3 linked regions of the Rhinolophus ferrumequinum genome follow. The protein of the gene in region 1 binds, or shares a complex with, the protein of each later gene. Links are inferred from orthologs where the notes say so. Each region holds a gene or a part of one and is shown on either strand. Other genes may lie near its edges.

The links.
Region 2: the proteins of CCKBR (region 1) and GAST are in contact, whole or in part, in a cryo-EM structure (PDB 7XOW), measured with the Homo sapiens proteins. The link is inferred for Rhinolophus ferrumequinum from reciprocal best matches to the Homo sapiens genes CCKBR and GAST. Residues at the interface, in NP_795344.1 of Homo sapiens: Cys107, Pro114, Asn115, Gly118, Thr119, Phe120, Met134, Gly135, Val138, Tyr189, Gln204, Cys205, His207, Leu222, Val349, Tyr350, Ala352, Asn353, Arg356, Pro361, Ala363, His364, Leu367, Ser368, Ile372, His376, Tyr380; in NP_000796.1 of Homo sapiens: Glu85, Ala86, Tyr87, Gly88, Trp89, Met90, Asp91, Phe92.
Region 3: the proteins of CCKBR (region 1) and GNAI2 are in contact, whole or in part, in a cryo-EM structure (PDB 7F8V), measured with the Homo sapiens proteins. The link is inferred for Rhinolophus ferrumequinum from reciprocal best matches to the Homo sapiens genes CCKBR and GNAI2. Residues at the interface, in NP_795344.1 of Homo sapiens: Thr87, Thr89, Arg152, Ala155, Ile156, Pro159, Leu160, Ala162, Arg163, Val164, Thr167, Ser169, Ile241, Gly248, Leu249, Lys328, Val331, Leu335, His394, Arg396; in NP_002061.1 of Homo sapiens: Glu28, Ala31, Arg32, Glu33, Val34, Lys193, Leu195, Thr220, Phe337, Thr341, Asp342, Ile344, Ile345, Asn348, Leu349, Lys350, Asp351, Cys352, Gly353, Leu354, Phe355.

What each region holds. Positions count from the first base shown.
Region 1 is NC_046294.1:45,510,165-45,513,908, reverse strand, and holds the start of CCKBR (gastrin/cholecystokinin type B receptor), read left to right. Parts: upstream 1-1,246; coding exon 1,247-1,397; intron 1,398-3,744. UniProt on the Homo sapiens protein: Receptor for gastrin and cholecystokinin. The CCK-B receptors occur throughout the central nervous system where they modulate anxiety, analgesia, arousal, and neuroleptic activity.
Region 2 is NC_046304.1:37,693,396-37,696,835, reverse strand, and holds GAST (gastrin), read right to left. Parts: upstream 2,162-3,440; 5' UTR 2,117-2,161; intron 1,141-2,116; 5' UTR 1,136-1,140; coding exon 925-1,135; intron 805-924; coding exon 701-804; 3' UTR 639-700; downstream 1-638. UniProt on the Homo sapiens protein: Gastrin stimulates the stomach mucosa to produce and secrete hydrochloric acid and the pancreas to secrete its digestive enzymes. It also stimulates smooth muscle contraction and increases blood circulation and water secretion in the stomach and intestine.
Region 3 is NC_046300.1:6,340,986-6,344,729, reverse strand, and holds the start of GNAI2 (guanine nucleotide-binding protein G(i) subunit alpha-2), read left to right. Parts: upstream 1-1,315; 5' UTR 1,316-1,472; coding exon 1,473-1,590; intron 1,591-3,744. UniProt on the Homo sapiens protein: Guanine nucleotide-binding proteins (G proteins) are involved as modulators or transducers in various transmembrane signaling systems.

The sequences.
Region 1 (3,744 bases):
AGGCTAAAATATTAGAGGAGGCAAGTCCAGCCCAAGGAGCTGAATCCGACTCAGTCCTGCGCATGCTCTCAACAGCTTTGTTTCCGCTGCACCCCAGTGACCCAGCCCCCTTCTGGCCCCTCCCGTGGGAACCTGACGCCCCACACAAGCTGCTCCACCTGCGCGGAGAGCAAACAGGGAGCGTCTGTGTGTCGGGTGACGGTGGGCGCTGCCTGGAGACCACGAAGAAAACCAGCAGCCTCCTCCCCTCTTAGGCCTACGCAGCGCTGGTTTAGAACCATACCCCCAACCCTCACCCCACTCCACCCCCGTTTATCCTAGGTAGTTCTCACACCCCCACCCCCAGACTCCTCAACACCCAAGTCAGACTCTTCCTCCCGGCAGCCGTTTCCCCCGCCAGGGTTCCCCGTGGTCAAATGCTGTCTCTCCCGCCCCATCCTCGCATGCTGCTGAGGGTTCCTTGGGACCTTTGGGTGGGAGGCTGGGTGTTGCCTGAGGCAGGATGCGGCGAGGAGCTGCAGGGAACTACGGGAACGATAGCATCGCGGTCACTGCGGTCACTGCGGCCACTGCGGCACAGTATCGTAACTGCAGCGTTCGCTGTGAGCTAAGCCATCTGCGCCGAAGCCAGTGACCTCGCACGCGGCCACCGGCTGTTTCCATCTCCACGTCCCCCGACACTCCAGGGAAAGATGCTAAACTCCACGGCAGCAGCCTCGCCCTACCCCACCCCTCTTACCCTTCCTTCCCTGAAACCTACCTCCTCGCAACCTCCCCGTCTCTACATCCACCCCCAACCCCCACCCCACCCTTCCATCTCAGCGCTCTCTCTCTCTCTCTCTGTCTCTCTCTCTCTCTCTGACTCTCTCTCTGTCTCTCTCTCTCTCTCTGTCTCTCCCCCCGCCGCATCCCCGGGGGCGGAGACTGTAGTGAAGGGGAGTGGGCGAGAAGAAAATCTCTAAAAGAAGAACGGAGAGATTTATTTTAGGGTACGGAGGGCTCAAGCCTGGAGGACAGTCACGCAGGGGGCAAGTCCTGAGCGGGGAGGGGGGCGGAGGTCACCTGGCAGGACAGCTGAGGACCCGAGCTGGGGGGACCCGAGCCCACGCGGGGCGCACCGCGGAAAAGCTGAGGGCAGGAGCCAAGGTTGGGGGCGGGACCAGGCGAGGCGGGCGCCTCCGCGGAATCTCAGCGCGTGCAGGTGGAGCCGCCGCGGGAGCCCGCCCGGAGGAGCGGGGCCAGGGCCATGGAGCTGCTCAAGCTGAACCGGAGCGTGCCGGGATCCGGACCCGGGCCAGGGGCTTCCCTGTGCCGCCCGGGGGTCCCCCTCCTCAACAGCAGCGGTACTGGCAACCTCAGCTGCGAGCCCCCTCGCATCCGCGAAGCCGGGACACGAGGTGGGTGCCTCCCTAAGCCCCCTCCACAAGCTCCTTCCCACTGCACCCACGACACGAATAGAGGATCCCACTGCCTCCACATTGCCTCCTCAAACACCCACACCATGCCCTCAGGGCACTCCCTCAGTCCCCAAACAGCTCCCCTGAGGAGGACATTTGTCCCCCTCAGCTCATAAAACTCCATCCCAGCTCACACAGCCTGGTGAGAAACCCTACACACCCTGGTTCCCGGGTCATACCCGGAGCTTCTAGTCACCCCCCAAACACAGTACCTTCCCCAATACACAGAGGGTGGGGAGTTAATTCTTCTAAGTCTCTCTTTTGCCTTTACATCCAGTTCACAGAGCCACAATGGAGAAGGAAAGAGAGAAAAGAAGGCAAGATTGGGAAAAAGAAAGGGGCTGTTTGGGGAAGGGAGCAGTCTGGAAGGCCTGAGTGGGAAGTTAGAGTTATAATCTCCTGTGTCCCCAACCCCAACCCCCAATCTTCCCGGAAGAGATTGTCAAACTTGAATTAGGCTGGGTGCTGCTCCGGAGAGCTGCCTGTCTCCATTTCACTCATCCTCAAATCTTCCTGCCTCCCAACATGGAATTCTTCTCAAGGTCTGAACTCTCTTTCTCTATCACCAAGTAACGTCTCCAAGTGCCTTCCAAGCCTCCCCTCCAGACTGCCTCTCCTTAGGTTTCACCATCCTAGAGCCTAGCTGGCCCCTGAATCACCCCGTGGCCACCACCCCTTCAGACTACTTCCATTCACCCAGTCCCCAAAATAACTTTCACTCTTCCCATCAGCCAACATCTGCATTTTCTTGATGACCCAGCTCAAGTTATATATTTTCTACTTCCTGTACATTTCCTTTCCCTAAATGTTTACTGGGCAACTGCTATTGTAGTCCATGGGGACATAGGGATGAACTAGACCCAGTCTGGACTGTCATCGGTCCATAGTCAAGTGCAGAGAGGAGACAAAAACCAACGGAAAAATCACAGTCAGCAAGGGAAGACCCACAAAAGGGTCTGAATTGTGGGCACCCAAAAGGATTCAAGAACTTCACAGAGGGAACCTGGGAGCTGGGTCTTGAAGTTGGAGTTTATTATGCAGACAAGGAAGAAGTGGGATTCCAGGAGGGGAAATAATGTTAAACAGAAGGAAATTATGCCAATCCCAAAAAGGGAAGGTGGGAATAAATTATAATTCAAGTACTTTGTTACCCCACAAAGAACGCATGCTTCCTCATACAGACTCTCACTTAGATTTCTATTTTATTCAACAAATACTTATTGAACCAGGGATTGTGCTAGGCACCAAAACTGACACCGTTCCTTTTTCATGACTCCAACAGTTTAGTGAATGAGACAGACAAGTAAGCAAGGAATTGCAGCACAAAGTGCCTTGAGAGAGCTGTGGGAACACAGAAGAGGAGCACCGCTAGCCTAGCCTATCGTTGGGAAATCAGTTAGCCTCCTGAGGAGGCAAAGTATGAACTGAATAAAAATAAAAAGGATGAAAGAAAGCCAGCCAAATGAATGGCAGAAAAGGCAAAAAAAAAAAAAAAAAAAAAAAAAAAAAAAAGAAAAAAAAAGAAAAAAAAAAAAAGCACTCCAAGCAGAGGAATAGTATGTGTAAAAGCCCAAAGTTTAAAACCAAGGCACTTTTGTTCAGTGTGTCATAGTTTCTGAATGCCTGAAACATATACTGTAAGAAAGGAATAACGAACACTCAGAATGAAGGTGAGCCTAAAGAGCTTTAAGACTTAAGGAGTGTCAATGTTGTCTTGAGGGCCATGGAACTACTGGAAGTTTCAGTAGTGCTGCCAGGATTCATTCTGTGGTGTAGAGGATGGATCGGAGGACAAGACATGTAAGAAAGGGGGATGGGGTGGGTGGACACTTTAGAAAGCTATTATATTACACTGGTTCTGGGGAAAGATGATACTGGCTTAGACTAATTTACTGGCAGCAGGGATGGAGAGAAGTGGATGTTTGAGAGGCACTTCTGGAATCAACAGAATTTAGCTATTTATAAGAAATGGAGAGGGAGGAAGAGGTCAAGGGATAACATCCAGGTTTCTGGCTTGGACAATTGGATAGATGTTGGTGTATATAATGAGAAGGATAACAAAGGAACAGAAACAGATTTGAAAGAGGAGATAATAAATTCAATTTGGAACACACTGAGCTCAAATGCTGGTGCAATACTTAGGTGAGGTCACCCAGTAAACTATTAAACCCAGGGGTCTGGAATCTAAGTGTGAGGTATGAGCTAGAAATATAGACTTGAAAGGTCTTTGCCTAGAGGAGGTAATGGAAGCTATGGGAATAGATAAAATTATACAAAGATTGTATAG
Region 2 (3,440 bases), on another chromosome or scaffold:
TACAGATTGTGCAAAATGCTCTACAGACAATATGCTGCAATTAGAGGACGATGGGGTCTGTGTGGGAGGGGCAAGGAGCAGAAAGGGCAGGTCTTCAGGAAGAGGCATTTCAGTCAAGACCCCAAGGAGAAAGAGGAGCCAGCTACATGTGTGCCTGGGGATAAGCATTCCAGGTACAGGAACAGCGAGGACAAATGTTCTGAGCAGGAAAGCGCGCGGTGCGCTTGTGGAAGGGAAAGGAAGAGAGAGAAAGAAGAGAGGTGGTATCCACGGTGGCGCCTGCTATGAGGACTGGCTCTTAGAGCTTTGACGAGGGGTTTACATTTTATGTTAAGTGTGATGGGAAGCAGTGGAGGATTGGAGTGATATGATTTGATTTTTCTTTTAAAAAGCTTACTCTGAAAAAAAAAGTGAAAAAAAAATGCTTACTCTGGTTGCGGCCCCCACCCCCTATTCTCCCACCCACATGTGGAGATGCTCGCTCAGTGTTGGACTCTGGGGATACCAAGAAGGATGAGCCGTGGTCCCTGCCCCCAGAGGGGTGCTCAACTCTCCTCTTTGCCTCAACCCTGCCCCCAATCGCCCCTTCTTTGCCCCATGACACGTGACACAATGTGATCCATTGGAAGCTAGTTTATTTTGATTGGTTTTTCATGGGGCCGGGCTGGGCTGGGAGGTAACTGAGCTCTGAAGTTCGGTTCTAGGGACGTTGATCCCCTTTCTCAGCACTGCGGCGGCCGAAGTCCATCCATTCATACGCTGCTTCTTCTTCCTTCAGCCATGGCTCCTGCTTCTTGGACAGATCTGAGGGTCAGAGATGGCAGAGGAGGTGAGTATGGTGGAGGGACACCTAGCTTCTGGGACTGAGGCCAGGGCCAAATGGGCTGAGTGAGGCAAGCAGGGATGGCTGTCAGTAACTCCTACCTGCCACCAGGTCTGGGGGACTCTGGCGCCTAATCTGCCTTCGGTGGTGAGGGGCTGGACCCAACTGGTCCAGCCAATGTGGCTCCAGGCCCCTATTGACCCCTGAATCCGAGGGCGAATCCTGCAGCTCGTAGTGGGGCTTCCAAGAAGCTTCAGAGAAGGTAGCCAGAGCCAGTGCCGAGATCAGCACGTACACACACAATCTGTGCATCTTGTCTGCAAAGGAGAGAGCGGCCGAGCTTAAAGGTGGAGTAGTCCAGGCACCCAGAGGCAGGTGTCTGGACCAGATACACTCCAGACTCTGCCTGCCAACAGATCTGCAATTCTGCGACGGCTTGGCGGCTGTTCTTCCAGTTCCTGCCTGCTCCCCCGGCCCCCAAGCCTTGCCCCTTTCCTTCTTACGTACCCTAACTCCAGTGACTGCTTCTCTGAGTAATCGAAAACCTAGAGGAATTTTTTCTAAACTGTTTTATAGAGTTTGAGGCCAGGTGAATAGCTCTGTAGATGTTTCAGTCTTGTAATTTACAGTGAACGTTAAACAGTAATACCAAAGGAACATACACACTCAGCTGCGTTACAGACCACACCGGGTTCCTTTGGAGACCTCCAGCATAGTCACCGTGTCCAGCATTGGCCATGTGTGTTGTCCAGTATGGTAGCCGTGGTCACATATGGCTCCTTGCATTTAAATTCAGATAAAAAATTCCTCCCTTGCACTAGCCACATTTACAGTGCATGTGTGGCTGGTGGATACCATATTGGACAGTGAAGATTTAGATTAACATCAAAATCGAAAGTTCTTTCAGACTGTGCTGGTCTAGGAAAGAGCTTGAGGTGGGATCCAGAAACCCTGGGTTCCAGTCCCAGCCTTGCCCAATAATTTATATGACTTTGGGTAAGTCACGTCTCCCTCTGGGCCTCAGTTTTCTCATCTGAGAGATGGGAGAATAGCCTTTGTCCCCAGCTCCTAGGGCTGGGGTGAGTATGTAGTAAGAGGTTAGGGCAGGGACCTGGGTGAATCAGCAGGTCAGCTTGAAGGCGAGGGTTGGGAAGCCAGGGTGGGCCCTAGTGCCGAGACCTAGTGCAGCCCTGGGCTAAAGGACGTGTCCCATCCCTGGAGACACCGAGATGTGAGCCTGGGGTCCTAGCAACCCTCTTCCCAGCCTCTCCCTCCCCTCCCAGGTGCTCTCACCTGCAGAGCTGGGAAGCCGATGCTCGATGCTCGGGTCAGTTTGGAGCCTCTCTGTCCTCTGTTGGGCTGGGTGCTCCAGCCCTGACTTATAAAGCCCTCAAGGCCCCTCCCAAGCCCCCCCCCCCCCCCCCCCCCCCGTGAGGTCAGGCTCTTCACTGGTAGAGGAAAGTGGGTGGTCCAGGTACATCACCCCTGCCCCGCCCTGTCATTTAGAGTCACTCATCCGGGTGTGGGGGAGGGGAGAGAGTGGACCTTCGTGGGGAGGGGCAGGAGCAGGGTGGGGCAGGGGCAGTTCTTCAGCTGGGCATGAGGGCAGGCAGGAGACAGGTTCCCTGGGCTCAGGGACAGGGTCCCCATCATGTTCTCGGGGTCAGAGACCTGGTGCTCACCCCTTGGTCTAGATCCAGTCAGGGGCAGGTGAGGCAGACGGACCAAATGACCTTAGATTCAGAGAAAACACTGTAAGAGACTGTTAGCATGTGAACTGCTATCTTTAGGTCAGGGTTAACAGCCCCTAGCCTGAAACAACATAATTATAAAATTCCAGGATGTGGGCAGTTGCAGCATGGAGACTAGAAGTCCTGTAGCTTATCTTATACTCCTGGTCTCCTTGTCCTGTAGTAAATCTTATACTCTTTGAAGCTATGCAAGTCCTGTAGCTTATCTTATACTCCTGGTCTCCTTGTCCTGTAGTAAATCTTATACTCTTTGAAGCTATGCAAGTCCTGTAGCTTATCTTATACTCCTGGTCTCCTTGTCCTGTAGTAAATCTTATACTCTTTGAAACTATGTAAGTCCTGTAAGTTTATCTAGTACTCTCAGAAGCTATGGAAAGCCTTGAAAATGCTATATAACCCCTTGGCTTTAAGTGTTTGGGGTCCTTGTTAAAACCTGCTGCGTCGGGCAGAGACTCGGACCCCAGCCGGCTGGAAATAAACCTCGCTGTGTGACTTGCATTATTTTGCGGGTTCTCTGTCTGTCTGAGGGGGACAATTCCGGACCTTAACATTTGGGGGCTCGCCCGGGACGCCCCCCCCTCAGGGGAACAGACAACTCCCGATACCGAGGTTTACATAGGGAACCGCGGAAGGAGGTTTGGCCACCTCCAATAGGGGAGGACTGAAACAGGTCCTCGACCGGAGAGACTGAAACAGGTCTCTGCCCGGTCCCAGTTGAGAATTCTCACGGGAAGGAAAGTGCGGGTTACGACCCTGGAGGCTTCGTTACTTGAAGTCGTGGGAGACGTCCCCGACAAGAAGGTGGCCCAGCGACGTCCACAGTGGACGCCGTTTGGACGGGCCCTAGGTAAGGATCTTGAGCGTGG
Region 3 (3,744 bases), on another chromosome or scaffold:
GATCAGCTCTCAAGCGCAGGGCTGAGCTGGTGGGGGAAGAGGCAAGTCTGGTCACAGACAGGCTGTGTTCTTGGCTGTGTGCACCCATTTTTATAGTCTTCTGTGGTTAGAGGCATGTATAGAGCATATCTCTGAGTGTCTGTGTCACTGGGTGGGCATTATGTGTTTTCACCATGTTGCATGCTTGTGGCAGTGCCTGTCTGAGCTTTGGCTCCAGGAAGGAGGGAGCCCAGGGGGAACCGTTGGAGGACTTACAGGCCAATGGCTCCTCAACAAGGGAGCCATTCAGATAGGGATACAGACACTCCAGGGGGAGCAGACAGCCTGAGGACTGGGAGCTGAAACAAGATGTGTGCCAGGGTAGGAAGGAGGGAGTCTGCTGAACAGGGGCTGTGGGTGGCCAAGCGTTGGTGACCGAGCATTGGTGGCCAGTTCCCCTCCTGGCTTTGTTGACCTTTTCTGTCTTTGGGTTGGGGCCATCTCGGCTATTGCACTAGATACACTGCTGCCTCCACCCCACCTTTGCCCCGTCATAGGGTTGTAGCCACTGTCTAGTGGAGTCAGGCCATAAGATCATGGCCACTTATATTTTCAGAGGTCAGTTGGCATCTCTCTCTCTGTCTCTCTCCTCCTCACTTGGGTCCTGGTTGCGGAGACCCAGGCTGGAGTCCAGGATGCCTACCTGCTGGAGAATGCCTCCTAGAAGAACTGAGGATAGAGTAAGTCCTGGATGACTAGAAAAAGCAAAGATGTAGAAGTGGCAATAGACTTTTTGTAAAAATTGCAACCCAGAAAGAGAAGGGGAGCAAACCCTCCTTAGGACGGAGAAAGCCGCAGTCCAGAGAGACTCTGGGCTCTGTAGATCCCAAAACAAGTTTATTGGGTTTATTAACTTTAACAAGTGCGAGGACACGCCTCCTCCACCCGGTTCGCGCAACTCGATGAAGCTCGGAGGGCTGCTTCCTGCTCCGCCCGCAAGGTGCACCCGATCTCCACCCTCAGGCTACGAGATCCTCCCGCCCCGCGGTTGGGCTGCGCCCCAGGAGCTCCGCACCCAATCGGATGCCGGCCCCGCCTGCAGCCCGCCCCGAGTCCTATCCCTCTGGGCTTGGCGATACCTCTACGGCTCTCCCTCGGCGTGGCTCCGCCTCCAGCCCGCGCCCGAGCCTGGGCTGCGCCTAACTCCTTAGTTCCGCCCTCGAACCAATCGCTGGCCCGAGATCTCCTGTGGCCCCGCCTCCAGACCCGCCCCTGCCCAGTGCCGGGCCTGGCTCGTTCCGGCCCCACCCCCGGCCCGCCCCGCCGTCGGTGCGCGGAGCCCTGGAAGGCACCGCCCGCAGACGCTCGCAATTGCCGACCGGAGAGCTACCCGAGGAGAGCCGGCGGCGGGAGCGGAGTGGGTTGCGCGCGGGGCCAAGCCGGGCCGGGGGCCGTGTCGGGGCCGAGCGGCGGCCGGGCCGGCGGACGGCAGGATGGGCTGCACCGTGAGCGCCGAGGACAAGGCGGCGGCCGAGCGCTCCAAGATGATCGACAAGAATCTGAGGGAAGACGGAGAGAAGGCGGCGCGGGAGGTCAAGTTGCTGCTGTTGGGTGAGGCCGCGCCCTGCGCTGGGACCCCCGACTCCCCGCCCAAAACCCCCAACAAGGACTTTGACCTCCAGGCTAGGGCTTTGAACTCCCAGACTCGGCCTGGACCCCCACATCTGAATTTGAACCCCCAGACCTGGCCTGGCCAGGACAACCAAATAATGATTCAAAAGTCTGGGTTGGTCCAGACCTCTGATCTATAGCCCAGAGTCGAGGTTAGACCTTCAACTCATTCCAGTCCCCAAAGCCGGCCCCCAGTGCCTCAACATAAGCTGCTCAGAACCCGGCTTGAAAATCCACCTTTACTGACCAACCTCACAGACCCTCAGAGCCGCTGCCTGTCCTCATCCTTCCCTAGACTTTACCCAAACCCCCAGAACCCTACTCGGCCCCCAGACTGCTCACCGTATTCCGTTCGGTGGAAGTATCCTCAAGGCCCCTGCCTGGCCCCCTTTCCCTCCTTCCCGCTCTGTTCCCCATCTCTACACGGCACCCTGTATCCTCCACCTGTGCACCCTGATCCCAAGGGGCCTCTCAAGTGGGAAACCATAACTGCTCCTGAGCCCTCTCTCCAGCTGGAACCCCCAAACCCTTAAAGACCTCTGCTGCCTGCATCTGGCCCACCAGGTCTCTGCCCGCATCACTCCTCAGACCCGCTGTTTCCCCTCCGTGAAGTCCTCTTCCACACTTCGGCCTTTCCCAGAGTCCCCCACCCCTCCTGCACTGGATGGGCCAGGCTGGGAGGAGGTGGCCCAGACCCCCAAGGGGTCCGACTAAGGCTTCACTGGTCCCACTTGGGGAGCCCGGGCCTCTGCATCCCAGGGCTGTCCTTTTCCCAGTTTCTAAGCCGGGTCTGGGCCGGTGAGGGGGAGGTCTGGGGGGTAGGAGGGAGTGTGGAGGAGTTGGGGTTGTGGCGCCTCCAGGGCCAGGGAAGATGGTGGCTGCTTGAGAGGTGGGGGAAGTGGAAGTGGTAAGACAGCGAGCCGACATATTGCTGCCCTGGCGGGCGGGCGGGCCGAGGAGATCTGCTGACGGGTGCCAGGCTTCCTGCACGCCTCTGGGCCTAACGGCCTGGGATGTGGCCTCCGGGAGGGGGTGGCCTGTTGGATCTTGAGGCCGTGTGAGGAGCGAGTGGTGGACCAGCTGGATGGGGGGTAGGGGGTAGGCGGGGGGCACCTGAGGTGGACTTTTACAAAGCCTGTGGGCCCTGTAGTTGTCCCCATCCAGCCTCCCACTGGGAGCAGGTGTGGTGCCCAGTGGCAGCCTGATTTGGGGGAGGTTTCGGGCTTGGAGGGAGGGAAGCCCCTGGCAGCAGCATTGGAGGCTGGACAGTGTATGGGGGGGTGTGGCCCCTCAGCCTCAGAGCTGCTGTGGGGTCCCAAGCTGTGAAAAGTGGGGCTTTTCATGCTGGGCGTATGGCCGAGGGGCCTATGGCCGAGGGACAGTGTGTCTTTCGTCATGCGTCCATCTGTTGACTGTCCCTGGGGGCCTGGCCTCGGGGGCACAGCCCCGAGGTTTCAAAATGGCATCCGCTCCAACGCTGCGGGAGGAAGAGAAGGGGCGGGAAGGGGCGGCGGCCCAGCCTCCTGGGCTGTTTTGCGTTGGGCGCTTGCCTCTTCCTGTCTCTGTGCTGCGAGTACAGCGGCAGTGAGTGGGTGTCGCCGATGGAATGCCCGTGGCTGCTGCCTGCTGGGCCTGGGAAAGGTGCTTCTGGTCCTGCTGCCTCCCAGTGCCCGACCAGGGGCCTCTAGCCAGCCCCTTGGCAGGCCCGTCAGAGTTATTGTGGCAGCTGAGATGTGGGACTGGGCCATGGGGCGGGGGGACACAGGGCTTCTGGGCTGTTCTGTGTCTGGACCGCATCCCACCAGTCTTGCTCCTAGGAGCCTGGCTCAGGTTTTGGGCCTGGCAACCCCTCCCACACTGGGCTGTCACAACCAGGGGTTCAGGGTACGGCTCAGCATTTTCTAGGCTGGGGAGTCCATTTCAGCATCCTGCCCCTCTGGCTTTGCTTCCCTCCCCATCCCCTACCCCCATGAAATGGGCTTCCTGGGTTTGGGCCAGAGGAGTGCCTGGGTCCAGGCTGGGGAGAAGAGGGGCTCGTGGAGGAGTGTGGGGGTGGGCGCTAAGACCCTGCAGACAGTGCACTGCTAGGGTCTG